Linked DNA regions of Nothobranchius furzeri. Each later gene encodes a partner of the first gene's protein in a complex. Links are inferred from orthologs where the notes say so. Each region holds a gene or a part of one and is shown on either strand. Other genes may lie near its edges. The genes, in order: fgfr1a, fibroblast growth factor receptor substrate 2, kl, plcg2 and fgf23.

Region 1 (4,730 bases):
TCCGGTCAAACAGAGCCTCAGGAGCCATCCACTTGACAGGTAAACGGCCCTGTATAAAGAATGTGTGTGTTATGGTTTGATCAGGTTCTCCAGAGTCTGAAATCTAAACCTTTGGTTTCCAGAAGACTTACATTGGTGGTCTTCTTGTAATAGTCAATGTGGTGGATGTCTCTAGCCAGGCCAAAGTCAGCTATTTTCATTACATTGTCTTCTGTTACCAAAACATTGCGAGCAGCGAGATCTCTGTGAATGCACTGAACCAAAAGAACAAAAAAAACATCATGTTATAAAGACAGAACCCAAACCACAGAACCGGTGCTTAAAACGGATCAAATGCTCCCAAACTGCTCCATCTGTTGTATTTCGTTACCTTTTTAGAAGCCAAATACTCCATGCCTCGAGCCACTTGGTAAGCACAGGACACCAGGTCTTTGATGGACATGTTCTCAACAGGAACCTGGTCTGGGTTGTAACAGTACTCCATGCCTGGAGGGCGTCGGGCTCGCAAGTACTCCCTGAGGTTGCCTTTGGATGCATATTCAACTATCACATACAGCGGACCTAAAATGATCGGAAAACATTCAGATGTGTTTTAATGCAGCCGTGTTCTGCTGAGCTAAAGCAGGGTACATGCAGGAATCTCAAAACTATATTTAAGACTTTTTCAAGACTTTTTAAGACCTTGTAAAAATAAAATTAAGTCTATCGCAAAGAACTAATCAACTGTTAAACACTTATATATTGTTTTTAAATAATGCATCACTTCGTTGTCCACTTCATGTTGGGTTACGTCACACCCGGGACAGCGAGGCTTTAGCAATAATACGTTAACCCACGTGGCACAAAAATGCAAACCGTGCGCATAGAAGAACAATATATATATATATATTTTTTTTAGTTTACATTTTTCATAGCCACGAACTCTGAGGCTGTGAAAAAAGTGACAACTAAAATAATTCCCCCCAAACAAGGTCCTCACATGCTGCAGATGTGCATCTATTCTACTGTGGGTTTTGTAGTGACCTCTGACATTTACATACTTTTATTTTATTGAGAATATTAAAAAAATAATAATTATGTGATGTTTTTGCAAAATGCAAGCAATTTTCTACCAATCATACTGTTCAAGAGAGCTAAATGTAATAAACTGAAATAACTAATCAGATCATGATTAGGGATCATCATATAATTATTAACTATTATTATGAAACTAATTCACAAAACACCAAACATAAAAACACCCAAAAATATTCCAAATTACTGTAATCATTCTTAAGTAGGATGACCAGATCCCAACTCACCACAAGTGGGACAGAGACTGGGACGTGAAGCTTCAATGTAACCAGATAAAATTAAAATGTTTTTTTAATACATGTATTTTTAATCTATTCTGCCTTTTATCTCTAACATGACTGTTAAAATAATAATAATAAAATTATTATATAATTGATGTCTTATATATTCTATTTCTATTAAACTTGAACAAGCAAACAGCAAAAGCTTTATTGCCGTTTCTCAGTTCCTCTCCAGTTGCCGCAGCTTAACTCAGACTGGACCTTCTACAGCGGCTCTGAGTAACTTTAGTTACAGTTACTTTAAACAATCAACTGATTTTATAAATATAGACGGGCCCACTAGAAAATAATGAAGGTTTAAGCAGCTTTTTAAAGTTTTCACTGAATATTTGTGCTGACTTTCCACAACAGAATGATAGTAAAAGTACCAGTAACATCTTTAGATCTATTTATGTTTATTTTCCACTAATAACATCTCGTTAACGGATCCAAACTGTTTTGCAAGTTTTTCTTCTTCTCGACTTCAAATCTCTTATATAACATGTAGGGAAGACGTACCTAAAGGGTTTAGCCTGTATGCACCTGAAACAACAACCGCAGCACCTCGTCTGTCAGAATCTTCTTTAGGTCAGGATGGACCTGTCTAATTACTGAGAAAGCTGTTTTTGACCAACACTTGAACTCTGGAGTGTGTTGGGAGGTTTGTAGAAAAGAACAGACCAAGAACAAGCCTGTTTGTGAAATGCTGACTGCATGTTAGACATAAATAAACGTCTCCAGGTGATATCGAAACACACAACAATGTTTATAAATGAGACGAACGCAGCTCTATTACGCAGGGTCTAAAATAGCATCAAATCAACAAGATATCAGAACTACAGCGTTGACACCTACTAGAAGATGCTTTACTCCAAAACAAATCCTGTAAGAGACAAATATCAAGAGAGTAGAATAATAAAAACCTCGTGTTGCCGTAATGTACAAGTCATTAGGTTTTCTCTGGGTTTTTTTAATCAGGATGTATGGGAAAAAACGGCCGCAGCTGTAGTTGATTCAAGCTGTGAGCTTGGAAACTGGTGTCAGAATCATTTATGCATGCTTTCCTACACATCCCCCAAAGTTAGGCTCACAGCAGCTTCCTTGTCTGAGGGACAAGTGTGTGTGTGTGTGTGCGTGTGTGTGTGTGTGTGTGCGTGCGTGCGTGCGTGCGTGCGTGTGTGTGTGTGTGTTGACTGGAGTGGGTCAGTATCAGGCTCCTGCCTGTCTTATCCTACCATCCTGTGTGCAGGCTCCCAGCAGATTAATGATGTTCTTGTGCTTCCCAATGATCTTCATCATCTCCATCTCTGAGATCAGGTCTGACAGGTCTTTCTCTGTGGCATCAGCTGGAAAAAGCAGAAAACACCCCCATATTAAAATGCCTTTTCTCTGCTCTGAAGGCAAGAAGACCAACACTGAAGCTGTTAAGGAACAGTGTGTGTGTGTGTGTGTGTTAGAATGCACCCCATGGAAAAATCACTAAGTACAAGACAGTAAATGCTACCTTCCCTCCATCTTTACTCCTCCATGCAGTTTAATGAACACAGTTTTATAAGGGATGTCAAGGGTTCTCATAAATTTTTACTCCACTCTCTCATTTGCACAATGGCAGGAACCCAACCGGGGAAACTGCTCATCCCAGTTCAAGCCGTTATTGTGACTAAACTCTTGACCCGATGCTTCCCTTAAGCCATTTTTACCCTGGAGAGTTTCATCCCTGTGAAAATCCATCTCAGCATCCACCACAGAAAGGTGTATTGAGCACCACCTTTTTAGAAAAATCTCTTTACTTACATTTCAACATTTTCACTGCAACCTTGGTCACACGGTTTGGCTTCTCCTTGTCCATGCCGAGCGCCTCCCCCATCACCACCTGACCGAAGCAGCCTTCACCCAGAGGTTTCCCCAGAACAAGTCTGTGAACACACCAGCAGTTCGGTAACTCAGCTACAGCCCTATACAACAGCTTCAATTTTAACTTTACAGGGTGTGAATTTAGCCATCTATGAGAAATGTAACAAATTAATTCATTGTTAAAAGGACTTTACGGAGATTTGAATTTTTATGCTCGCGATTGCCCCCTCAGGCCAAAAGTGTAACGGCAGCTTCAATAGTAGGCTCGTGCACGAGGCGCGCATGCTGTACGTGCACACTCCTTAATGAAAATAACAGCTGAGACAGTCCTGTGTGTGTGTGTGTGTGTGTGTGTGTGTGTGTGTGGCCCGGAGGACAGAGGACAGGAGAACGCACAGCTAATTAATTAAATAATTTGGTTCTGTACCTTTCTCTTCAGCACAGCCGACAAAGGTTTAAGATGGGTCAGTCCGTCAGCTTCACAGAGCTTCCCTTCCCTTGCTTGAAAAATTGTTCCAAAATGAAAGTTGAACCCACATCTTTTTTTATCTGTGAATTCAATGCCGTTCGGCGAGTCTCAAATAAAAATTAGGGCATCTTACTGTAAAAAAATATACCATTAATGTAGAAAATAAACTCTACATAAATTACGTTCACATCAAGAATCGAACCCAGATCTTCTGCACGAGAGTCCGACGTCTAACTAAGTGAGCTACAGCGCCAGTTATGTCTTTCGTATCTGTAGCTTTTATATCCTTGATAATAGCTGAAACAAAGTTCAAAGAACGGTTCGGAGCGAAAATGTCTATTTTGTTGCTAATTTGCAGGAAATATCTAGAAGAAAGTAGCTAAGAGTCCTCAGAAATGTAGCTAGGTTCATCACTAGGCGTTAGGAACAGCGACAAAGTCGCTGAGTTGGCACTACCTCACTCCCTGCTGCTAAAGCTACGGATAGCAAATGCTACAGGCTACGCCTGAGCGTGAACGCGCATGAAGCAGCCTGCTCGACCCGAGCAGCTCTCTTTTTCTGTGATTTTACAGAAAAACAGGCAATCACAGTAAAAATGCCAGGGCTCATTCTACAGGACCAGGGCATTGCAGGAGAATGTATGAAGAAGAAATTTATTATTTCTATACATGTTTTGGCTGTCAAACTTCCATAATGCCCCTTTAAAGCAACAGCTTTCAGAAGAGAGCTAAAGGATTTTGGTAAAAGATTAAATTGTGATTTTTCTGGCAGAAATCTTGATTTCAATTTAATTGATATTTATTTAAATCAAGCTTCAGCACAATATACACAATGTGCATTAATATTTACAAACATGACAGGAAATGCCATACCATCAAAACACTAAAACATTTCTCCAATAATGCAAAGATAAAAAAATTAATTGCTTTCGAATATATTTATTTAAAACAAAATGTATGCAGTGTTTTCCCTGCTCTGTTTTACTGAATGTGTATTTCTCACAAAAACACTGCTGTTAACACGAACATTCATTCATTATTGTAGCTCAGTATGCCCCATTAGAAAAACTCAAA
Region 2 (6,178 bases), on another chromosome or scaffold:
AGGTTTTGTCAGATGCTTTAAAAGTTTATGCACTTGAGTTAATGTGCAATGACTTGTCTCATTTAAGACACTAAATATGTTCTAACTATAAGACCTTGATAAGCTGCTGTGTTTATTAATGTCCTTTTTGAGTGCAGACTGTTCTAAAAAGTTTTCACTATTCATTACAAAACAAAACAGCTTCAGTAAATGTTGCAGAGCTGTAACTTCATTACTGCTAAATAAATAAAAAAACTAGCTGAGTTGATGAACATGTTTGTATTGTTTCTGTTTTTGGAGGTGAAATTTATCACTAAATGGATCATTTTGTGTGAAATGTACATAAATTAATCATATGAATGTTTTAAATTTCCAATATACAGTGCCCCCATCTTTTTTCGATATGGCAAATGTTTTAAATTATTTAGTTAAGTTGACTTAAACATTTCTTCCAAATGAATTGATACTTTAAAATTGAGTCAACATACATTTATGGATTACACGGACTGTACCAGTCAGTTCTCTCAATACCCAAACTAGTTTTGACAACGTAAAATTATTAATTGTGGTTAAAGTTAAAAAAACTAAAAGAAGTTGAATCAACTCTTGATTATAAATTAAACTAACTTAAAAACATGTTGGTATAACAAGAGAGTTTAATTTGGGATAAAATATGGTAATGTTAAGACAACAAATTTTGTTTTTTCATTTAACTCAAAATTTTAATGCAGCCCTTTCACTCGTATTTTTAAGTTGAAACAATATGTTTTATTTTACAGTGTACCTATTCCACCTTCCTCAGGATCCACTGATTTCCCCCTTACCTTGTCACTCTCTCTTTACATTTTTAACCACAATTGTCTATTTTTTGCAGATTTTAAATATGTTTTTAATCATTTTCTAAATTCTTTTTTGTATTTTTTGTTTTTGTTAAGCGCCTCGTGATTTTACTCTTGAGAGCCGCTATAGAAAAGATCTTTTCTTCTTCTTCTTCTTAAATTCAGCTTTAATAATTTAATTCTATACAAAATCTGCTGATTTTAGAAGCATTTATGTCAGAATATCGGTATCGGTGAATATCGGTTATCAGCCATAACAGTAATCTTGATATCAGTATCGGCCCAAAAATTTCATATTGGTGCATCACTACATTTTTTTCATCTAACTACCTTGGTTTATCCTAAACAGAAAACAATGCAGTTTGATTTTCAAGCTTTTTCAGGGACAACACAGAAACCGAGCACTTTCCATACTTCCATGATTAACTCTTTAATTTTAATTCTATGTGTTTATTCTTAAATTTTCCATTTTCTCCCATTTTCATTTATCTCATTTATTTTTATTGTTCTTGCGAAATGCCTCAAGAGAGCTGATATATAAAAAAATCTGTTTCCTGTTTCTTCACCATCATTCTAGACATGCAGTCTAGGTGTTTAGTAGAGCTGAAACAACTAATCGATTTAATAGATTATAATCGATTATTGAAATAGTTAACAACTTTTTTAGTCATCGATTAGTTGTTTAATAATCACATTTTACCGCATAAAGTCTATTTTTACCACAATCTGACATCAGTTACAATCTGTTAAATTTGCCGCCAGTGTGTGGCAGTAATGAGCCACTGATCTACCAGTGGAGCCGTAGAAGAAGAAACGAGCCAATAAGTGCCCTCGGTTTTCATGACGTATCACGTTACTGACGCTCATCTTGCTGTGAGAGATGGCGGAACAAGAAGAAATACGGAAGAAAAATAGAAGCGACAAAACTGAAGAGAAACCCCGGACAAAAACCTCACGAGTATGGGAGCACTTCACTCTAGATGCCATGAAAAGACGGGTGACCTGCAAAATATGCAAAAACCATCTAGCATGGCACGGAAGCACGACGTCCCTAAGTGAACATTTGAGACGAAAACATGTGGGGGCTGATGCAGCAGAGGAAGAGCCAGCCCGGTAAATAACAGAAAATAAGCAAAATCTAGTGGTCCATCACTACACGCAGATCAAATATGGGACTTAGTGTTTTAGCTGAGTTCGTTATAGTGAATGTTAAACATGTTTTTTTTTTTTGCCGCGTCAGTCTACGGTGTTCTACTTCTGATTGACTAAATGCAATCGTGAATCTCCTCCGTGTTGTGTATCATGCGCTTGCCAAATTTAGCACGTCTGTTTATAAGAATGTTCTTGTTAAGAGAAAAACGGCACAAACCCATAACTATGTTCCTCATTCAAAAAAGGACAACTCTGCGGAGAAAAATATAAAGACAAGCTGTGTCCAGGTGAATATAACGCGGCATAATTGTACGCTTTCAATTTTTAAATACAGGAGAAATTCAGAAAAAGTCATTTTTTTACTATTAAAAGGCTGTTTTACTATCTAACGCTGTAAAACGCCTCACAACACATTTTTATCAAAATAAATGATCACTGTCTATTGTTAATTAATTCAAATAATATAATATTGATTTAGTGTTGTAGTGTGTGTGCTGCTTTATTTTATATGTGTACTTATGTCAGTCAATTTGTGTTTCTTATGCAGAAAAAAACAAGCAACGATGGACAACTACATGGGGAACAAGACACTCACCCCCCAGCAATGCATACCACTTACAAACTCTTTTCTAGATTCAACATTATTTTTTTATGGAATTTACCTCTTATATTTTGATGCCAAAAAATTATTCTGGACTGATTAGCTCATTTTACACCGCTGACTGTGTTCATGTGCAATAAAATGATTGCAGTCAATTGCACAATTCTCCTATGTTTTTCTTTTTCTTAACTGAAATGTATTCATCACTTGTATAGGTTAAATAGCTAAACAATAACAAACCGACTAATCAATTAATCGAAAAAAAAAATCGACAGATTAATCGATTATGAAAATAATCGTTAGTTGCAGCCCTAGTGTTTCGACCCTAAGCTGACCTGAAACCGGCCCCGACTACCATGACGATCCATCCTGAATCTGAGCAGTAACACACTTGTTTCTAATCACATTTTGATTCAAAGCAAATTTCTGTTGAAACTTGCTCCAAATGTTAAATAAATCAATTAATTCTGAAATACTTTCTCCTAGTGAAGCGATTACTAACCTTTATGTTTGACTTTGGGGCAATTGTGTCAGAGACATTAAGTACCCGTCCTGTGAGAACCCAAACCCTGTGACCAGAGGGTTGCAGGTTCAAGCCCAGGTTCTGTCTTGTGTACCTGGGCAGGACCAGAGGCGCATCTGAGTGAGCCCCAGGACAGCTGTGGCTATGATGTAGTGCATGTCTAAGCACTTTGGGGGGTTGCAGAACTGTAGAAGGTGTTGTATAGATAACGAGGCATTTACCATTTCATTTCCAAACCCTTAAAACACTTGATCAGATTTGTAATGTGCGAATCTGCTGATAGTTAATCTGTTAGCTCTGACGTCACTCCAGCACCGGGATGATCAATAACGAGATCTCAGGACCTCTCGGTGACACTTGAGTGTTTTCACTTTCCTCAGCGCGTGCGCATTCAGTTTATATCGCTGATAACTAACCAGATTAACTAACCTCACGGTTAAAACCGTGTGCGAGCCGCACATTTAGCGGTTCATTTGCGAAATGTGAATCACGCAGCCGCTGTAGTGTGAAACTTCTCGATGTGAAGTTGCTGTAATGGCAGCTAGCTAGCAGCAGCTAGTTAGCAGCAGCTAACGCCCGCTACCTTCTTCGCAGAAGCCCTAACCTGTCCGTACATCGGTCCATACTCACCAGGCTTGGTTAGAGGGGTGATTTCCAGCATCCAAACCTTTGGGGCATCCAGATGGAGGAGCACCTCAAGTCTGTCCGTAAATCCAGGCGTTCAGCTAAAGCTAGCGGCTGCTACAACAGGAGATCCTCCATGTTTCCTCTGCGCCGCTGGAGCGCCAAAAAAAAACAATCACAACTCGTTTAAAACGCACCTAAGGTTTCTCTTTACAAACAAGCATCAATCTAAACCAGTCAGAATCCATCTGCGGTCCTTAGTGGTTCACTGCGGGCTGAAAAGGTCCGTCCCAAAACTCTTTCTACGGCTAAAAACAAACTTTTCTTGCTCGTTTGCTCCCGAGCTAAAAATCACAGCGAGCTGCTGCCGCAACTTCCGACACCTTACGCACCGCACTGCGCATGCGCCGCGTACGTAGTCGGGGCAGGCCTCGAGTCAGGACCAGAGTGCCCTTACCTCACTGCTGACTCCGATCCTCTGCGAAGTGCACTTTGAGGAAGCGCACATGCTTCGAGCAAAGGGCTGATGCAGGAGCAGAGCCAAAGTTCACACTCCCTACAACCAGGTATTCAGTTCCAGGCCTCAGGGCAGGTTTGAGTTTGGACTCTTTCAACACACCTGATTTATTTTGCAGAGCCTTACGAGCTGCTGCTGCACAGGTGATTCAACCATAGAATCAAATGTGTTGGAGCAGAGAAACCACTAAAACAGGCTGGATACTGGTGATCTATCTGTGTGTCCTCATCGAATATTCTGTGACGTAGTAGTCGGTCATCAACGAGTAACACGGATAGTTGGATCACCGGCACTACACACTCACACCGTGGGATGGCAGCATGGAACTGGGGAACGAGAGTGTGGAAGAGACTACATAGACCATAGATTACCTCATTACGTGCTGCAGAGTGATCCAGTGTTACATCATATTGGGTGAGAGGAGCCTAGCCCCAGCTTTGGTGTGTGTGTGTGTGTGGGGGGGTGGGGGGGGGACAGAGGACATGAGAACATGCAGTTAATTAAATAAATAATTTGGTTCTGTACCTTTCTCTTCAGCACAGCCGACAAAGGTTTAAGATGGGTCAGTCCTCCTGCATGCTCAGATCATTCCCTTCCCTTGCTTGAAAAATTGTTCCAAAATGAAAGTTGAACCCACATCTTTTTTATCTGTGAATTCAATGCCGTTTGGCCAGTCTCAAATAAAAATTTGGACATCTTACTGTAAAAAAGAATATACCATTAATGTAAAAAAGAAACTCTAAATAAACTATGTTCACACCCAGAATCAAACCCAGGTTGTCTGCACGAAAGCCCGAAGTCTTACTAGGCGAGATAAACCACCAGTGACGTCTTCTGTATCTGTAACATTTATATTCTTAATGACAGCTGAAACAACGTTCAAAGAACGGTTTGGAGGGCTATGCCTGAGCGTGAATGCGCATGAAGCAGCCTGCTCGACCCGAGCAACTCTCTTTTTCTGTGATTTTACAGAAAAACAGGCAATCACAGTAAAAATGCCAGGGCTCATTCTACAGGACCAGGGCATTGCAGGAGAATGTATGAAGAAGAATTTTATTATTTCTATACATGTTTTGGCTGTCAAACTTCCATAATGCCCCTTTAAAATGAGCAAAAAGTAGACAATTGTGATTTTAAAAATTTAAAGAAAGAGAGAGTGAATAGGTAAGAGAGAAATCAGTGGATCCTGAGGAAGGTGGAATAGGTGGGGAGAGCAGAATAAAGAGAGTGGTGAAGAAGGTCATACAAAAGTCAGCTTGAACAAGTGAGTCTTCAGCTGCTTTTTAAAGGAGACCACTGAGTCCACTGATCTCAGGCTCAGGGGGAGAGAGTTCCAGAGTCTGGGGGCCACAGCAGCAAATGATCTGTCACATTTGACCTTTAGCCTGGTGCTGCACAACCAGTAGGCTTTGATCACTGGACCTCAGGGACCTGCTGGGGGTGAAGGGACTAAGAAGATCACCAATGTAAGATGGTGCTTGTCCATGTAAGGTCCTATAGACCAGAACCAGGATCTTGAAATGAATCCTGAAGTTGACTGGCAGCCAGTGAAGCTGGAGGAGAAGCGGGGTGATGTGGGTACTGTAGTTTAGACTGGTACTGTAGTTTATATTTATACTGTAGTTTGTATTTATACTTTAGACTGGTACTGTAGTTTAAATTTATTCTATACTTTAGACTGTTTATATTTATACTGTACTTTAGACTGGTACTGTAGTTTAAATTTATACTGTAGTTTGTATTTATACTTTAGACTGGTACTGTAGTTTAAATTTATACTGTACTTTAGACTGGTACTGTAGTTTAAATTTATACTGTACTTTAGACTGGTACTGTAGTTTATATTTATACTGTACTTTAGACTGTTTATATTTATACTGTACTTTAGTCTGGTACTGTACTTTATATTTATTCTGTAGTTCAGACTGGTACTGTAGTTTATA
Region 3 (6,058 bases), on another chromosome or scaffold:
CCCCCCAAGGCGCTTTACAACACAATCAGTCATTCACCCATTCACACTGTTAGACACAATATTAGATAAAGAGGGGGAGCGTTACAGATCTTCTGAAATTGCAAAGGTAATGTTTTCTTAAGACCCTGAGGAAGTGTTTTATTCTCTGGTCAAACACACACACACAAACACACACACACACACACACACACACACACACACACACACACACACACACACACACACACACACACACACACACACACACACACACACACCTGTATAGAGTTGGCTGAAACCCCCCAGGCAAAATCACATGGGAAGACTCCTTGTGCCGGCTTGTTTTCTGGAAGTTCAGGGAATCCGTTTTTCTGAATCACATTTCTGCAGAAACAAAAAAATATTGTATAAAGTATAAAGTATAAATATTGTACAAAGTATAAAGTATAAATATTGTATAAAGTATAAAAATGGTAATATATATATATATATATATATATATATATATTTATATACATATATATATATATATTGGAGATTAAAAAAATACAGGATTTGAATATTTACATAAATATAATCTGTTGGTTTGTTCATATAGTTGACACTTGTCAGTCAGAAGAAGAAGAAGAAGAAGAAGAAGAAGAGGAGCATCAAGGAAAAATATTAAGTTCAAATAATTTGAGTCAGTTTGATGTTTTTAGAAGAACAAAGATTTTTTTATAGTGCTTTCAACATGAAACTCACAAGGCACTTCACAAACACAATAAAACAATCTAAACCTTTACTGTGATATGATGTAGGCAACACGTCGGTTATTCATTTTTTACAAGCACATCTCGCACAGCTCCATGCAGTTTCACTTCACCGCTGCTTAGCATTAGCCAGTAGAATTAGACATCGGCTTACGTACAGATGCAGTGAAGCATTTACCTTGGACCTGCTTTTCAACAACAGAAGGGTCTCTGCGTTCAACTCGGATGTTGAATAGATGCAGAGTTGGTGAACTTCTTTATAGACAAGTAAGTCTTTAAATTATGAAGTAATAAACAGCATAACATGAGAACAGTAACTATGTGTGTTCACGAATGAGAGGCATCGTTTCCAGCAGTATTACAGAAACAGGGAGATGCTCTGGGTGGTGCCATCTGAGAGAAACCTCAGGATTTCTGCTTGGACACCAAAACGTGTTGGCCCTCACATGTACCTGTAAAAGGTGGCGGACGTTTTTGGCTCCCTCTTCATGTCAGGAGTGTTGAAGTCGACGTAGTAAAGTCCACGTCGGATGCCGTACTCTCTGTGCCACTCAAAGCCGTCCATCAGGGACCAGGCTGTGTATCCAATCACATTCACTCCATCAACGACGATCGCTGGACGACAAACACATTCACACAGGCTTTAGTTTGACCTCAGAGACGTCTGACGAGACAGTTCGATGAGTTTGGTGGAATCCGATGGACCCACATTTAAGTGTCTCTGCAATGAACCTCTTGAGGTAGTACATTTGTTTCGGATCTTCCGTTTTGGTGTTACCGAGGACATACCTGGAAAACAAACGCAAGTTCAACACAAACCCAAACTAAAACGGATATGTCCGTGTGCTAACCTACCAACCGCTTTGCATCACAAAGATGGGTGGCTTGTCATACTCTTCGTTGACCCAGTAGAGCAGCATCCTCAGGTCCAGATCTTCCAGCTGCCCAAACTTCAGGCTGTCGTTGATGAGTTGGAAGCTCAGGGTAGCTCCATGGGAGAGGGCGAAGAAATCAGCTGTTCCTCTGACCTGCTCCCTCTCCTCCTGGGTAAAGGAGGGGAGCCGTGAACCCAGCCTCTCCTTCATGCAGGCTGGATAGTCTCCATCTACAAACAGCGGCTGTGCAAACCAGCCCAGGACATGGTCCAGGGAACACTGGCACTCCCGCAGGCTTTCCAGGCGAGTACGGCTGGGCTTGATCCAGTGGGAGGCCAGAGCCATGGAGACCTTCCCGTGCTGCCGAGGCCGATAGCGGCGGTTGTAGAGGTGCCATGCAGCTGCATGGGCCTGCAGCAGAGACAAGAGAGATACATAAAGAATAAACTTTTACATGCAGGTCAAAAAGTTAAAAAAAAAGTTCTGTGTGCATAATAAATTACACTGTAAAATCTGAATGGTTATTTTTACTTGGAAAAAAAAGCATGAAAATGACAGAAAAGATTGGAGCCCCAGTGGCCTCCCTGCTGAATAAGTGCAGATTTTTTTGTGTTAATGTAGCCTAATATGAGATGTGGGGAGAAAAAGCATGTGAATGCAATTATATGGGGGTTGGGGTTAGTTGAAAAGAGATGTTAAGATAAACACTTTGATGTTTTTTCTGATGCAGATTACCAAGACGTTAATGTAGTTTTGCAAAATAGTTAAATTTGGAAAGGTATTGAAAAGCTGTTGTATCTAAAGCAACCATGAATTATTATGTTGTTGGAATTACACACACATTTTTGAAATACTTAAAGGCACATTTTTTTATTATTATTTTTTTTCATACAGATGTACCTCTCCAACAAAGCAGTCGGGCCCCCCTGTAATGTAAATGTAGAACCGCCCCTGGCCATATTTTAGTGCTTTTTACTATTTTAATGGGAAAAAAATCATAGTAATAAACATTTTTTTTTGTAATTTATTTTCAAGATACTAAATGGAAGGAAAATTGAATAAAAAATTAGATTTTTGAACAGATACTTTTTGTGACTAATAAAAAAACAGCACATTTTTTAAATCAATACCCACCTTAAGTAAGTTATGTCCCACTCGGAGAGGGAGATCAGGGTCGTTCTTGATCCCAGGAGCGACCACCCCGGTTCCGTAGCCATACTGCGCCACCACAAACGGGTTATCTATGGTGATCCAGAACTTCACATCATTCCCAAACGCATGGAAGCAAAAATCTGCGTAATCCTCAAATATCCCCACGATCTCTGGGTTGCTCCAGCCGCCCAGGGTCTGCTGCAGCTGCTCGGGCAGGTCCCAGTGATGAAGCGTGACCACCGGCTGGACTCGGACCTCCTTCAGCCTCCTGATGAGCGTCCGGTAGTAGCTGGTGCCGATGTCGTTATAACTCCCGCGCGTCCCGTTCGGAAATATCCTGGACCAGGACAAGGAGAACCTGTAGTGGGTCACCCCGAGCTGGCGGATGGCCCGGATGTCCGCGTGGATGTTGTGGTAGCTGTCGCTGCCCACGTCCCCGGTGGCCATGCGGTTCCCTCCGCGCGTAAAAGTGTCCCAGATGGAGAGCCCTTTGCCGTCCTTCTCAAACGCGCCCTCCACCTGGTACGCCGCTGTGCCCACGGCCCATATGAAGTCCCCGGGGAACGTGTCGTAGAGAAAAGCCTTGTCTCCCGGATAGGGAAGTTTACTGAAGCGGCTCCACGTCTTCAGACCCGCATTGGGCTTTGCGCCAACAGCAGCGAAGGCCACAAATGTGAGAACAGCGACAAACCCCTTCATGGTTGGTTTTCTTACTGGCCGTGGAAGTCCGGGTCCTCAGCTGGCTCACACTCCACCATGCTTGGTGGCTTTTTGGTGACTAACCAGACCTCTGCGACGCGCGAGCAGCCAGCTGTGAACCTGTCAATCATTAACCAAAGCACCTGACGCAGGAAGGGCTCAGGGCACAAGACGTTAAGGCTCCCACAAAGACAAAATAAGGCACGATCACTTTATTTTATTCTATTCTGCTCATATTGAGCCTTTAATCTCAGTCTAATCTCCTGGAGAGCAGGTGCCAAAGCCTCTAATGTGAACCCATCAACAGATCATAGCTTTAATCCATCTGCAAAACATGTATAACTAAATCTACATTCCTAATCTCATCAGAGACAATGTGATGAGTCAGATGGTTGCTAGGGAACACAAACCCATCCCAGGTTATCACAGCATCAGTATAAATACCTGAGGTGGTGGGTATGTCTTAGAATAAAAAAGTGGTTCTTTCTCTGAGAGGCCATAGTCATTTACATCTAATTAGACTTTTTGAATATTTGGAGCCAACTGTGTTCAAATATGTTGTTTATGCTATTAAAGTGTATAATCAAACCACTCCTCAGACGTCCAGCTCTGCTCATCGTTTAGCGAATTTGCCCTGCAGGCTCTGTCACGGATCACAAACGGGAAGAACACGGGAGTGTTTTTCCATCGGACGCACTGGAGCGTTTGTGCATAAGCGACGTGGAGCAGGAGCAGCCCCATTTACAGCACGGGAAGAGGATTATTAAGGGATGCTGGGCAGCCCGAGGACAGCGCGTGACTCCGACAGATGCCGCAGTTGGATCTGAAGAACTAGAACGTCTGTTTTCAGTCTGAAAAACTAAACGTTTCAAACCAAATAAAGAGGAAGCGAGCAGGTCTGGTTTTATAGAGAATTATATTGTTACAACAGAGGGTCTGACTGGGTGGATGTGAAGCCAAATTAACCAGCAGTGACACAAACGACGTTCCTCTAGCAGTGAGTACAAATCTAACCAAATAAATCAGATGCACACTACAGTCATAACCAGAAGCAACTCTACAATTGCTTTTTTTTTGTTTGTTTTTAAAGTTTTCAATAATGGTAAAAAAGAAGAAGAAATGTTTTAATATACAGAGGTGTAAACAAAATCATTCCAATAAAAGGTAAAATGACACAATTAACACAGAAAAAGTTGATGGTGATCGGTCTTTTTTTTTTTTTAGCTTTTAATAATAACGGCAGAACCCAAAAGGCTTTACAGCACCTCCCCAGTCAGCATCAAACACAACAACAGAACAACAAACAGACAGAGGAGACTATTTACAAACCATATTGTTTTTGTTTTTCATGTTAAGATGAGTTCTACCTAACGTGGCGAACATGATCACAATGCAACACGAAGCGACGAGCCACAGCTGACCATGCGGACGCTCTGATGTGGTGTGCATGTGGTAAATGCAAGTGTGTAACAGCGGGAACATCGGCATATGAAAAGTTTAAAAAGTTCAAAGTTCATGGGTTTTTTTTCCTTTCCTGAAACGGTTTCCTTGACGACAGAAGAATCGTTGTGTTTTGTTTTTTAAATTTTACTCCAAAGCTCATCTTCTGCGTCCTGCTGTCTTCTTACGACCCTGAAAGACAATAAAAAAAAAAAAAGACATTTTACTTGCGATTAATCGCAAATTAATTACAGATTATAAAAGTACGGTAACGTGATCTTTTTCATGTATGAGCAGACAAATACACCGATTCTATAAGAAAACATATTTGTTATTGCAACAATCCAGTAAAATGACAAATATTGTCCAGAATGTTCTTTTTCGATGAACACAAATCTAACTAGCGCGTCGTCTTTTATTGAGAAAGTACCGGATGTTCTCCTCCACCCCGGTGTCTACCTTCCTGTTCCCTTCGTGTCCGCCTGACACCATTTCCTTGTTTGTCCTCCGGGTTCTACCTGAGTTTTTATTACACCGACTAGGCAGTAGCGAATAGAAAAATAAAAAAGTTAAGTTAAGGATAGATCTTACAAATTGTTTTAATCATAAACGACACAAAAAAATCTGTTTTACAGCAGCAACCCTTACTTCTATAAATGTTTCCTGCTCTGATGAGTGAGAATATGAAGCCGAGTGCAGCCATTCAGGGCATTCAGACGGAAATAATGGAACACACTAGGGCTGCAACTAACGACTATTTTAATAGTTTACTAGTCACCGACTACTGAAACGATTAGTCGACTAATCGGATAATTATGAAAATTTTTTCAAATTTAGTATGAGATTGCTTTAATTGTGTGAAAAATGATAATAAACACAAGAAAGATGGGTACTTCAATGGAAAATGTATATTTTATTGAACGTTGCTGCTGATAGATAGGCCAATTCATACTAACAGTAGATAAAATGCCCTGTCTAACACCAATTAGGCACAGTGTCCAGTCAGTACAGACATAAATGCATAAATAAAATTAAAATACTTTTGTCAGGCACAGTCGGGCATAACATTAAATCTCTCTTTTTTAAAAGCGAAAGTACGTTTAAAAAAAATTTACAGTGTACATCCAAAACAAAAGGTATTGGCTTTCGTGTTATTTAAAT
Region 4 (5,459 bases), on another chromosome or scaffold:
ACTTTTCGGACTTTTGAATTTTTATGCTCGCGATTGCCCCCACAGGCCAAAAGCGTAACGGCAGCTTCAATAGTAGGCTCGTGCACGAGGCGCGCATGCTGTACGTGCACACTCCTTAACGAAAATAACAGCTGAGACAGTTCCTTGTGTGTGTGTGTGTCTGTGTGTGTGTGTGTGTGTGTATGTGTGTGTGTGTGTGTGTGTGTGTGTGTGTGTGTGTGTGTGTGTGTGTGTGTGTGTGTGTGTGTGTGTGTGTGTGTGTGTGTGTGTGTGTCCCGGAGGACAGAGGACAGGAGAACGTGCAGCTAATTAATTAAATAATGTGGTTCTGTAGCTTTCTCTTCAGCACAGCCGACAAAGGTTTATGATGGGTCAGTCCTCCTGCATGCTCAGATCATTCCCTTCCCTTGCTTGAAAAATTGTTCCAAAATGAAAGTTGAACCCACATCTTTTTTATCTGTGAATTCAATGCCGTTCGGCGAGTCTCAAATAAAAATTTGGGCATCTTACTGTAAAAAATTACCATTAATGTAAAAAAGAAACTCTAAATAAACTATGTTCACATCCAGAATCAAACCCAGGTCTTCTGCACAAGAGTCAGACATCTTACTAGGTGAGGCACCAGTAACGTCATTCGTATCTGTAACATTTATGTCCTTGATGACAGCTGAAACAACGTCCAAAGAACGGTTCGGAGTGAAAATGGCTATTTTGTTGCTAATTAGCAGGAAATATCTAGAAGAAAGTTCTACAGAAAGTAGCTAAGGGTCCTCAGAAATGTAGCTAGCTTTGTCACTAGGCGTTAGGAACAGCGACAAAGTGGCACTGCCTCTCTCTCTGCTGCTAAAGCTACGGATAGCAAATGCTACGGGCGATGCCTGAGCGTGAACGCGCATGAAGCAGCCTGCTCGACCCGAGCATCTCTCTTTTTCTGTCATTTTACAGAAAAACAGGCAATCACAGTAAAAATGCCAGGGCTCATTCTACAGGACCAGGGCATTGCAGGAGAATGTATGAAGAAGACATTTATTATTTCTATACATGTTTTGGCTGTCACACTTCCATAATGCCCCTTTAAGCATCAGTAAAATTAGCCTTTTCTCGTGTGCTGCAGGCACAAGCTGACACTTTGGGAAGAGTTTCTTTTTGCGTTGCATTTTTAAGGGTTAGATGTGTTGCAGGACAAACCCTTCTTGGAGGTGAGGGTTCGGTTTGGGTACAGCCTCAGTGAGACGCAGGTCGAAGTCCTGGCAGCGCAGCGGCGTTTCTCTGTAGTGTTGGATCAGAGAGTACACGCTGGGAAAGGGCAGGTTTGGAGTCAGGTAGAAGAAGTTTTGGCCTTCCTCTGTGCCGGAGCGAATGCGGCAGTGCTGGACTCTCCCACCACGCCTGCACAGACGTTCAGGGAATTAAGAAAACAAACAAAAAGCACCATCGTACCACAACCTGACCAAGAAATTACCAAAACGACAGAGTGAAATCAGTGACAAACGTGTCACTTTGTCGAACCATGAAGGTGCCATCTTGTCCGCCGGTTTCTGCGCAGTAATCCTGGATCAGACGCTCGGCCATAATTCGACCCTCGTGCATTTGACCGTGAAACCACGGCTCCGAGCAGTGCAGGTCCTGGTACTGAATAAAACAACAAAATGCACATTTCAACCCTCTATTCATTGGTATTCCCTCCCTAACTGGACACTTTACCTTCCTGATATCTTCATCTTCCTCTTCGTACTCCTCTGCGTAGTACAGCTTGTTATCAGAGATCACACAGTAGTGTTTGTTCCACCGCTGGTAAAGAGAAAGCAGGTTTTTACATCTTTAGTTACACATGCAAAACAACACGTTGGAACAGCCAACTCTCCTGGGACGTCTGAGCTTTGGGAACGTTTTTGGCCTCTGAAGAAACGTGGATGTCTGACGTCCCGTAAAAAAATAAGCAGCAATCAAAGGAATGATTTGTGAATTGGCTGAATTAAATTTGGAATCAAGCTGGAGCTTTGTTTCTGTCCAATCAACAGAATCCAAGCAAAAACATAACATCTGCAAAAACTCGGACATACCATTAGCTGATTGTTTGATGCAGTGTTTAGATGACGGTACCTGGTCGACAGGGTCCCAGATCTCCAGGTCTCCCTGCTTCTCGCCCCTCCTGAAGTCTTTAACCGTTCCCGGTCCTCCCTCCACGTTAAGCTTCTTGTGCTGCTCGTAAACAAAAACCAAACTCAGCGGTGGTCTCAGATCAAGCCGCCTCCGCCATCGCCTCCCTGTGCTTCAGTACCTTGAGTATGATTTTGCCCTTCAGCTGAGTGGGTGACGGCAGCAGCTCGGCCATGTGCTCCACCGGTTCGGTCAGAAGTTTGTCCCCAAACACGTCTTTGAAGATCCGCGCCATCTGACGCTGCTGCTCTACCGGACAGTGTTCCTCTATGGACAGGATCACTGGGAAGCTAAAAGCATTTGAAGTAAAGTCTTGTTAACTAAGGTCATTGTGTCTAAGCTGATAAAACAAAACAAAAATAAATAAATATGTATGTATATATGGTGCATGAAGTCTAGTTTTCCACATGAAAATACAGGAACTTGTGTTTTTTTACAGACACTAAAGAAAAATTTCCCTTCCATTTGTGAAAAGAACACAATGTATGATGATGTGAAAAAACTTTTGCAATAACAGGAAGCAAAATAAACAAATTCAAGATGACGCAAAACTGAATTAAGATGTAAAACCGGAACAAACAACATATCCATCCGTCCATTTTCTGAACCCGCTTTGTCCACGCGGGGTCGTGGGGGGGCTGGTGCCTATCTCCAGCGGTCAACGGGCAATCAGGCGGGGTACACCCAGGACAGAGAGCCAGTCCATCGCAGGGCAACACAGACACACACACACACACACACACACACACACACACACACACACACACACACACACACACACACACACACAAGGACAATTTAGACAGACCAATCAACCTAACAGTCATGTTTTTGGACTGTGGGAGGAAGCCGGAGAACCCGGAGAGAACCCACGCATGCACAGGGAGAACATGCTAACTCCATGCAGAAAGATCCCAGGCCGGGAAGCGAACCCAGGACCTTCTCGCTGCAAGGCAACAGCTCTAACCACTGCACCACTGCACAGCCCCAAACAACATATTTACATCAAATAAAAAAAATAAAACAAAAGGCATTGACCACAACGAGTCACGTGATGATGACCATTAAAAGCTATGAAATAAATTAAAGAAAGAAATAATACAATAAACATGTATTAAAATAAAATTAAAAATAACTTTCAAAGAGGGCTGCAGGGCTAGGGTTAGCACTGGTTAGCGCTGTCGCCTTGAGGTCTTTCTGCAAGGAGTTTGCATGTTCTCCCTGTGCATGCGTGGGTTCACTACGTTGGCCCTAGGTATGTGTGTCCGTGCGTGTGTCCGTGCGTGTGTGTGTGTGCGTGTGCGTGCGTGTGTGCGTGAGATAGGCACTAGGCCCAACGCAACCCTGCGTGGATAAGCGGATGGATGGAACTATCAAAGAGATAAAAAAGTAAAATAAAACAGAAATAAATAACGACTAAATCAACCTTTTAAATTCCACACCAGTAAAAAAAAAGTTACATTGAAATACAATCCTTTTTATATTTTTTTGTTCTTTTGAAACAACAAAGGTAATTATAATATAATGTAATGTAATAATAAAGCAATGATTATAACAATAATAATAAAATGTAATAATATTTATTGCTAATGTTTAAGTTTATACTGAAACCTGGCCACAATTTTTTAAATATTTAATTTTAGTAGCATTTTTTTCAACAGGTTTTATTAAGCTAGAGGGACTAAAATGTGCTCCAGAAAGCATCTGACTGAACAGTTAAGGGTTCATGAAACTGTCTCAGTAAAAATTAAAATGAAGACAAAACCCCCAAACCTGTACAAGACCAGAAATAACCTCACAAGCTCTTACTCTGAGGTGACAAATGCATGTTCGTTTATGGCTTTGACCACATCCTCAAACTTGATCTTGGTGGTTCTGGACCAGCCGTGGTAGATGATCGGCTCCCCGGGGCCTTCCCAGCAGTCCACTGATAAATAACAAGTAAAAAATATTAAGTTAAACGAATCTAAACATTTTCGTTTACTTCACTAGCTTGATATTCACATTCAACGCAGCGACATCCCAGACGCAGACAGCGGGTGTAGGCCTCTGTTGACGACTCGCTGAGAATCTGATCACCTGTCAGGTAACTGATGGATACAAAACAAAATAAGAAAACAAATCAACTAGATTAGTTCATTTATAATAAATAATCTATTATGTCACTTTAAACACTATTCTAACATTTATATCCAAATTAAATGCAGTTGGCAATTTTTTGTGATTCATTTTCATTTTGGGAGATCCCGGACGAGCCCCCAGTTTAGGTCTCACAGCTCCCAGTGAAGACAGGTTTCAGTTTTAGTAAAATCTTTTTTGATGGTATTTTTGATCAGTTAACAGGAACATATTTAGGACAAAAACCAGCCACTTAGGTTTGTTAAACAAACTGACGTGTTATGCGAGGAGTTGATCCAGTAATGAGACAATGGGTTGTGTGTGTCCAGATTGATGATCTCTGAGAACTTCTCGTCCCAAACAGAATTCTCCTTGGAAAACAGGAAGCTGAGGAACTGGAAGAAGAGAAAGAGTTAATACACAAGGTCAAGGTAACTTTACTAATACCCACAGGTAAATTTGATTTGCCATGTGACACGAGAATTAGCGCCCAGGTTACACACAGATACACACAGCCACAAAGCACACACATCAATGAAAAATAAACAATAAGTAAATAAAAATAAAAATACTCCTTCAAACGCCTGGGAGGTGTGGCCATTTTGAGCTTCAAAACTTTCTGCTAGCCTAAACTAAGTTTGAATATTAAAAAAATAAAAAGGCAAATTTGGAAATAATTTGAAGAAATACAAGTTTTCTTTGTTACCTCGCTGACTGTGAACTCAGGGTCATTGGTCTTCCTCATGGTGTCGTCAATAAAAATGGTCATCAGCTCCCTGACCTGATTCAGATCGTTGGCCCAAGTTTCCTAAACCATGAAATTAAATAGTTAACAATCGGTACTTTTTATTTTTCAGTATCTTTACATTTCAAACACAGCATTACACCAGCTTAACAGCTCTTCTACTTTCCACCTTTTTCTAACGTAACATCTTCATAATAATTTCATAAGTAATCAGATTACTTCTTTAATCAAGAGCTGACTTCATCGAAATGAATATTTATAATGAAATTAAAGAAGATGAAAACGGTCCTCGTATTTGTTCATTTAAATCAAGTGATTTACTTAGATTATTTTGTATTTTTGAAAATGGATTCATGTTATTTACTTGTCTTGTTTTTCTTTTATTTGTGTATTCAAATTCACGACACATGACTAGTTATTGTTTCAATTTTAGATG
Region 5 (5,352 bases), on another chromosome or scaffold:
CCATTAAACCACCTTTAAGAAGTGGATCATTAGTAGGTAATTATCATTTTAGCATTTTTATTACGTTTTCTCACGTGTAGAACGTTGACATTTTCCATTCTGTTGAATGTGTTGAGCTGAAAGACAGTTGACAAAGACAAAAGACAAAATTGCCTTAAAGCACCTTAAAGAGCAAGTCACCCCCAAATCAACTTTTTTTCTGATAAACTATATAAATGCGAGTCTAATCGTGCTGCAGACACGTGTCGTCAATAGTTTAGCACTTAAGTGCATTTTAGTTCAAATTTTAATTTTCTGCCTAAAACTGTCGGTGTTGTGCCGTTGTCAGGTAAAACCTCTGCACTGCATTGGAATTTAAATCTGCCATCGCTATTAGCTAAGAGGAACCCTAGAACATTAGCTGGTACCATATGATGTCACAATGTCGTTGTGAGTCTGTGTGTGTATTTTAGTGGCTCCGCCCTCTCGGTCTGCAAGGCAACAATATTTGTTGCATTTTTCAAACGGGAAGTGGGAGTTGAGTAAGATCTGGTAGGGGGTGACTTGCTCTTTAAGGCAATTTAACTAATTTAGCATCAAACCATTTCTGGCTTTGGAGCACCGTGATGGTGTCTTAGGATTAGTAACTTTGTTAAAACAAGCCACATCCAGTCCTATACATGTAAACTTGCTAATTTTATTTCCTTTTTACTGTTATATAATTACATAATTAAACTAGTTCAGTTTAAAAAACCTGTTTGTATTTTTTCATATTTGAGGCATAAAATTATCTCGGATTTACCTTCTTTAATAAGGAACTTACTGACAATAACATCAAATGAATGACTTTCAAAAGAAAATCCTCAAAAGTCTAATTTATTATTTTATGAACCAGTGCAGTTTTAGTTCTACATTTACAAGAGTCCTTTCTCATTTCCTGGTAACTGATGCACTGCCTAGCCAAAAGAAAAGTCACCACCTAAAAAAGTCACGCTCATACTTTGTTGGACCACCGTTAGCGTTGATTACGCTATTAAGCAGATTAAGCTTCTGCAATGCCATAAGATTTATTTTCATCCATTAATCCATTCATCCATTGCATTAATTGTTAACCAAGATCTCACATTGATGAAGGAGCTTTTTTATTAACATACAACATCACACAGACTCCAAAAATGGCTCCTATGATAATCGGATTTCTTTATTTAAAGCACATTCAAGCAAAACTCGCTCCAGCTCATACATTCAAAGTAAACTCGTGTTTCTGTGTAACTGTAAGCATTATTATAAATACCATAAATAACAATAAAGGAATGTATTTAAATAAATAAATATTCTTTTAGACTGCTTTCTCTCTGTTTTCCGGTACCTGATCACACAACAAGAGTTTACATTTGATATTCTGTAGAATTTATTTACCCTGTAGTCATTTTCTTTCAAGTCATTTATCAGATCAAACTGCAAATAAGTCATAATGATGATTTGAGAGTATGTTCAACTCTTAAAATATACTTAAGATTGTATAACAAAGACATTTAAACTATAACTCTAGTCATTTCTACTCTACTTTAATTATATATTTATTTTTAGTGATGCCTGTCTGGTTTGACAGCAGGCCGCTCAGTTCTCCAGAGGTAGGAAAAATCAGGCTTCTGTCTTGGAAACATCATTGTGGGTTTGTCAGACCAACCGAGAAAGAGAGGAATAATTTCCATCCTGTTTGATATTCCAGCATTTTGGATGAATGCTCAGATGCCAAAGATGCAGAAGCTTTTCTAAAATTGATTACTCTCTTTAAGGTCTGATGATGGAAGAGAACGTATTTAGTTGCTTTTTAGATTTAAGACAGAAGAAAATGTGCAAAAAAGGTTACAAGTCAATACAAACCACCGATTTTACCCAAAAAAAAAAATATATATATATTCAGCTTTTCAGATGGATGTTTGGACTAAACTGTTAAATTGGACTCAGGCAGAGCACATTAACTCTAAAATCATCCATGGTGCCGAGATCAGACCGTGGTCCCGGTGCTCCGAGCGCCGCCTTGCCTGGATAAGTTCACGTTCCAGGGGTCGTGTGGAGCCAGCGGCGTCTCCCGGGAAACGTTTCTTCCATCATCCCCGACTTCTGTTTCCGTCTCCAACTCTACCTCCACATCCAGGTCGATGTCGTCCTCCTGTGCCGCCCTGGAGTCCAACTCGTCCTCAGGCTGCCAAATCAAGACGTTGTGTGGGTCTGTTGGGTCCGCAACCCGAGTCCTCTTGTCTCTGTGCAGCAAAAGGCGCTGCAGCGGCACCGTGTTCTTCTTGGGCAGAAAGAGGGAGGTCTGCGGCAGGTTCTGACCCGCAGAGTAAAGCTGCCGGGAGCCCTCCAGGTTTAACAGGATCCCGGTTAGAGTAGAATAGTAGACGTCCCGGTTGTTCTCCAGAAGCCTGTGGTAGAACAGACAGGAGTCCCTCTGGCAGATGGGCTAAAAGAGGAAAAGAAAGCCATCAAACCCCAGCTGATCGATGTTTGCTGACTTTTATTTAGGCGGAAAAAATGCCTTGAATTTATTTTTATTCAATTTTCAGATGCCAATAAATCCAACCGACGTTTTAAATAAAGGAATCCTGTGCGTAAAAGTTGTGCGTAAAACTCCACAATGACACCAGAAACAAACTCGTGGTTTGATAAATCGACTAAAATTACATGCGAGCTTTCAACTGAAGTATTTTAAAGATGAATAAGCAGCAAACTAAAGAAATTAAGTGTTATTTAGAAAATAAACTGCGGTGCGCATGCGTAAAAGTAGCACAGCCAGATGCGTAAAAGCACATAGGACCGATAAACAAACTCAGAATAAGGTTTTAGGCTGGAAATTTGAAAATAACTTTGAAACACCTACCGAGCTGAACAGAATCCCCTCCTGATCCATACACAGGTAACGGTTGCTTTTGACACCGAAGATGGCCACGTGCTCCCTTGTTTCAGCTTTCATTAGAATTACACCTGCGAGAGAAAAAAAACACTTTTAGCAGCCTGACCTTGGTCTATAAACCTACATTATTTTCATCCAAATATCAACTTACTGAATGCAGATCTGGCTGTAGTTTTGCCCACAGACCCGTCTAATCTGATCTCCAGGTAGAAGTTGTTGAGTTCTGTGGAGGTCTGCAGGTGAACGTATCTCCTCGGGTTCCCCCAGTTGGATCCAACTAACGGAGACGGATTCGGTGCCGCTTCCCCGACAGGAAGTCCCTGCAGGACAGCGAGTAAGAGCGTCAGCATCGTGTCTCTCATCCCCAGTCGCTTGTTGACGTCCATCCTGGATCAAACCGCTGGTTTGGACTGCTGGAAGCGCTCGGATGCTCTGTTGTGCCACAGTTTGGTGACAGTACCTATTTAAAGCCCATCTGAGCGCCACTCCTGCGCACATCCTTTGCGCGGAAAAAAAGAAAAGAAAAAGAAACTCGCCCCCAAAGCAGAGGTGCGGGTTTCAGCAGCGGAAGGACCACTTCCACCTCTCTGTTTATTTCATGATCTTGGTTAAAAATCAAGACTTTTATTTTTGGGTTCTCTTCTTGACTCATCCACCGTTTCTTATTAAACCACCGCTTCAGGTTTTAGTTCGGAGTGCAGGAAGCTGCATTGTGTAATATTTCAAAAGGAAAAAAAAAACCTCTAAAGGCTTTTCATCACATCGCGGATTATTTCCCCAACCAAGAGTGACAGCTCTATAATTAAAGAGTTAAAATAGTTGTTTATGCCAGCTCTGCTTTTTCTGCACACCTGCACTCATCCACGTTTCCACTTTTTACCCAGCAGATGGCGACACTTCCTTGTTGGGAGGAAAGCAAACAGACGCATCTTTTACAGAAAGCTGCCACACTGGAAACCTAACTGCGTTTAGTCTGTTCCCCTCTTATAAACGGTTCATTCATGCAGGAAATTATTATGGTGACAAGTTATAATTCATGGAATAAGTCAGAAAGATTTTTTAATCTGTTAATTAACCTTACATTTGTTTTGTAAATTAGGGACAGGACTTGATTTAAAAATTATTTTGTTGTAAATTTTATGTTTGGCATGTATTTTGGGGTCTTTGTTGTTTTAAAAATTTAAACTAATATTTTGTGTTTGAAATGTTTTAATTTTTCATGATTTAAAAATGTGGAACACTAAAAACCAATTTTTAATGATTATTTCTGATTATAATGGGTCACTCTGAGTTTTTCATGCAGGCTGAACATGAAAATAGTCTCCTACACCTATCTCCTGCATCAGTTTCTGATAGAAAAGAGATGTGAAACTGCCAGATCTGCATCACACTGTCACTCAACATTCATGGACTCACCCGTGGATCACTACCACCTCTCTACCTTTGACTCTGAACGAAGCAGTACAAGTGCAGGTCGTTATCGTTTACAAGTTCCTGGAAATGGTGCAACGGTCAGTTTTTCCTCCCCAGAGTACAACTTGGATTAATTCCTAGAGACCACTACAAATGTATTTATTAAATGAGTGACTCACATCTTTCAGTTCAAGGTCAGCAAATCCAGTTAAACCACAGAAACAACAAACTCCCAGCAGCCAGTTAAAAAAAGAAAAACAAACTTTTATTATTTGGTATTTCAGGAATATACAGTAGACTGCTGTGCACAGCACATACGTACAAAAATAAAAGGAACAAAACTTTACTTAGCATCGTCTGTTATCAGAAACATGTAACTAAAATTTGTTTCGTCTCATTTTACAGAGATTAGCAAACCAAAACTAAGGCAGAAGGTGAGGTATATGAGAACAGAGGAGAGGAATAGAGTGGAGGCTCAGTCCAAAAAGTAAAAATAACACATGAAGAACACACACCCTAGTCAAGCTCTGGACTCAGGCATGCTGATATACATTCAAACATCAAAGAAGTTATTCCTCACCTTGACTTATTGAAATCTGACCTAGGATAAGCTGTGGAAAGGAGAATCAAATATATAATCAAGACGTCCTAAATAAGGTGCAAAACCAGACATCTTGGAGAGGTGACATGAGCAGTGGCGTGTCCAGATCTTTTAAAATGGGGTGGCCCAGGTGAGGCACAACTTTGTGCATGGGTGGCACCAATGGTTATGCTTTTCTTGTTTTACCCCCAAGCCTTTTGTGGACAATGAAAAGCCTAACTAAAGGTAAATTAATGTGGTGGCACCTGGGGTGGCCAATCAGATTCCAAGGGTGGTATGTGCTACCCCAGGCCACTCCCTGGACACGCCTCTGGACATGAGCAAATGAAGTCCTCATTAGCGTGCATTCACGATGTTTACTTCCACACAGTATACAGCTTTCAAAATAAAGAGCATTTTCATGTAACTCATAGTTAAAAATGTACATTAGTGCTTTTAC

Evidence for each region.
Region 2: the proteins of fgfr1a (region 1) and fibroblast growth factor receptor substrate 2 are in contact, whole or in part, in an NMR structure (PDB 1XR0), measured with the Homo sapiens proteins. The link is inferred for Nothobranchius furzeri from reciprocal best matches to the Homo sapiens genes FGFR1 and FRS2. Residues at the interface, in NP_075598.2 of Homo sapiens: His409, Ser410, Gln411, Met412, Ala413, Val414, His415, Lys416, Leu417, Ala418, Lys419, Ser420, Ile421, Pro422, Leu423, Arg424, Arg425, Gln426, Val427, Thr428, Val429, Ser430; in NP_001036020.1 of Homo sapiens: Asn25, Val26, Asp27, Asp28, Leu33, Leu47, Thr49, Arg50, Asp53, Ser54, Val55, Trp57, Leu60, Cys61, Leu62, Arg63, Arg64, Tyr65, Gly66, Tyr67, Asp68, Ser69, Leu71, Ser73, Phe74, Gln81, Thr82, Ile86, Phe87, Ala88.
Region 3: the proteins of fgfr1a (region 1) and kl are in contact, whole or in part, in a cryo-EM structure (PDB 7YSH), measured with the Homo sapiens proteins. The link is inferred for Nothobranchius furzeri from reciprocal best matches to the Homo sapiens genes FGFR1 and KL. Residues at the interface, in NP_075598.2 of Homo sapiens: Asn272, Gln288, Leu290, His292, Ile293, Asn296, Gly301, Pro302, Leu305, Pro306, Tyr307, Val308, Gln309, Ile310, Leu311, Lys312, Glu322, Leu326, His327, Leu328, Arg329, Asn330, Glu334, Asp335, Thr340, Leu342, Leu349, His351; in NP_004786.2 of Homo sapiens: Ser539, Gln540, Phe541, Asp543, Leu544, Asn545, Val546, Tyr547, Leu548, Trp549, Asp550, Val551, Lys555, Arg556, Leu557, Val560, Val563, Thr565, Lys566, Arg568, Tyr571, Val573, Ala576, Glu625, Arg628.
Region 4: the proteins of fgfr1a (region 1) and plcg2 are in contact, whole or in part, in a cryo-EM structure (PDB 8JQI), measured with the Homo sapiens proteins. The link is inferred for Nothobranchius furzeri from reciprocal best matches to the Homo sapiens genes FGFR1 and PLCG2. Residues at the interface, in NP_075598.2 of Homo sapiens: Lys504, Asn506, His541, Lys542, Lys598, Ser602, Tyr605, Gln606, Arg609, Glu612, Tyr613, Ser616, Lys617, Lys748, Asp755, Arg756, Val758, Ser762, Gln764, Glu765, Tyr766, Leu767, Asp768, Leu769; in NP_001412678.1 of Homo sapiens: Phe528, Arg540, Thr568, Phe569, Pro570, Asn571, Phe577, His585, Cys586, Arg587, Arg589, Ser590, Thr591, Met592, Gly595, Leu601, Thr602, Asn604, Leu622, Arg623, Cys624, Ala625, Glu626, Phe627, Glu738.
Region 5: the proteins of fgfr1a (region 1) and fgf23 are in contact, whole or in part, in a cryo-EM structure (PDB 7YSH), measured with the Homo sapiens proteins. The link is inferred for Nothobranchius furzeri from reciprocal best matches to the Homo sapiens genes FGFR1 and FGF23. Residues at the interface, in NP_075598.2 of Homo sapiens: Glu159, Lys160, Glu162, Lys163, Lys164, Leu165, His166, Ala167, Val168, Pro169, Lys172, Gln244, Asp246, Val248, Glu249, Arg250, Ser251, Pro252, Val279, Tyr280, Ser281, Asp282, Pro283, Gln284, Pro285, His286, Ile287, Ala314, Gly315, Val316; in NP_065689.1 of Homo sapiens: Leu31, Leu32, Gly33, Ser34, Trp36, Gly37, Tyr43, Ala45, Thr46, Ala47, Arg48, Asn49, Ser50, His52, His66, Ile75, Arg76, Ser77, Glu78, Asp79, Ala80, Gly81, Val83, Val84, Tyr93, Phe108, His117, Gln118, Thr119, Asn122.

The regions. Positions count from the first base shown.
Region 1 is NC_091757.1:34,245,467-34,250,196, reverse strand, and holds part of fgfr1a (fibroblast growth factor receptor 1-A), read right to left. Parts: intron 3,251-4,730; coding exon 3,129-3,250; intron 2,681-3,128; coding exon 2,570-2,680; intron 562-2,569; coding exon 371-561; intron 255-370; coding exon 132-254; intron 50-131; coding exon 1-49. UniProt on the Homo sapiens protein: Tyrosine-protein kinase that acts as a cell-surface receptor for fibroblast growth factors and plays an essential role in the regulation of embryonic development, cell proliferation, differentiation and migration.
Region 2 is NC_091744.1:79,890,856-79,897,033, forward strand, and holds the start of fibroblast growth factor receptor substrate 2, read right to left. Parts: upstream 3,928-6,178; 5' UTR 3,725-3,927; intron 1-3,724. UniProt on the Homo sapiens protein: Adapter protein that links activated FGR and NGF receptors to downstream signaling pathways.
Region 3 is NC_091750.1:61,951,641-61,957,698, forward strand, and holds the start of kl (klotho), read right to left. Parts: upstream 4,199-6,058; 5' UTR 3,458-4,198; coding exon 2,741-3,457; intron 2,018-2,740; coding exon 1,587-2,017; intron 1,521-1,586; coding exon 1,441-1,520; intron 1,347-1,440; coding exon 1,184-1,346; intron 364-1,183; coding exon 258-363; intron 1-257. Other genes in the region: pds5b (sister chromatid cohesion protein PDS5 homolog B), read right to left, coding at 5,057-5,089. UniProt on the Homo sapiens protein: May have weak glycosidase activity towards glucuronylated steroids. However, it lacks essential active site Glu residues at positions 239 and 872, suggesting it may be inactive as a glycosidase in vivo.
Region 4 is NC_091744.1:86,605,738-86,611,196, reverse strand, and holds part of plcg2 (1-phosphatidylinositol 4,5-bisphosphate phosphodiesterase gamma-2), read right to left. Parts: intron 5,087-5,459; coding exon 4,985-5,086; intron 4,674-4,984; coding exon 4,555-4,673; intron 4,251-4,554; coding exon 4,165-4,250; intron 4,088-4,164; coding exon 3,970-4,087; intron 2,451-3,969; coding exon 2,282-2,450; intron 2,203-2,281; coding exon 2,104-2,202; intron 1,792-2,103; coding exon 1,705-1,791; intron 1,633-1,704; coding exon 1,463-1,632; intron 1,390-1,462; coding exon 1,189-1,389; intron 1-1,188. UniProt on the Homo sapiens protein: The production of the second messenger molecules diacylglycerol (DAG) and inositol 1,4,5-trisphosphate (IP3) is mediated by activated phosphatidylinositol-specific phospholipase C enzymes. It is a crucial enzyme in transmembrane signaling.
Region 5 is NC_091741.1:43,104,700-43,110,051, forward strand, and holds fgf23 (fibroblast growth factor 23), read right to left. Parts: upstream 3,450-5,352; 5' UTR 3,286-3,449; coding exon 3,051-3,285; intron 2,971-3,050; coding exon 2,867-2,970; intron 2,450-2,866; coding exon 1,991-2,449; 3' UTR 1,871-1,990; downstream 1-1,870. UniProt on the Homo sapiens protein: Regulator of phosphate homeostasis. Inhibits renal tubular phosphate transport by reducing SLC34A1 levels. Up-regulates EGR1 expression in the presence of KL. Acts directly on the parathyroid to decrease PTH secretion. Regulator of vitamin-D metabolism.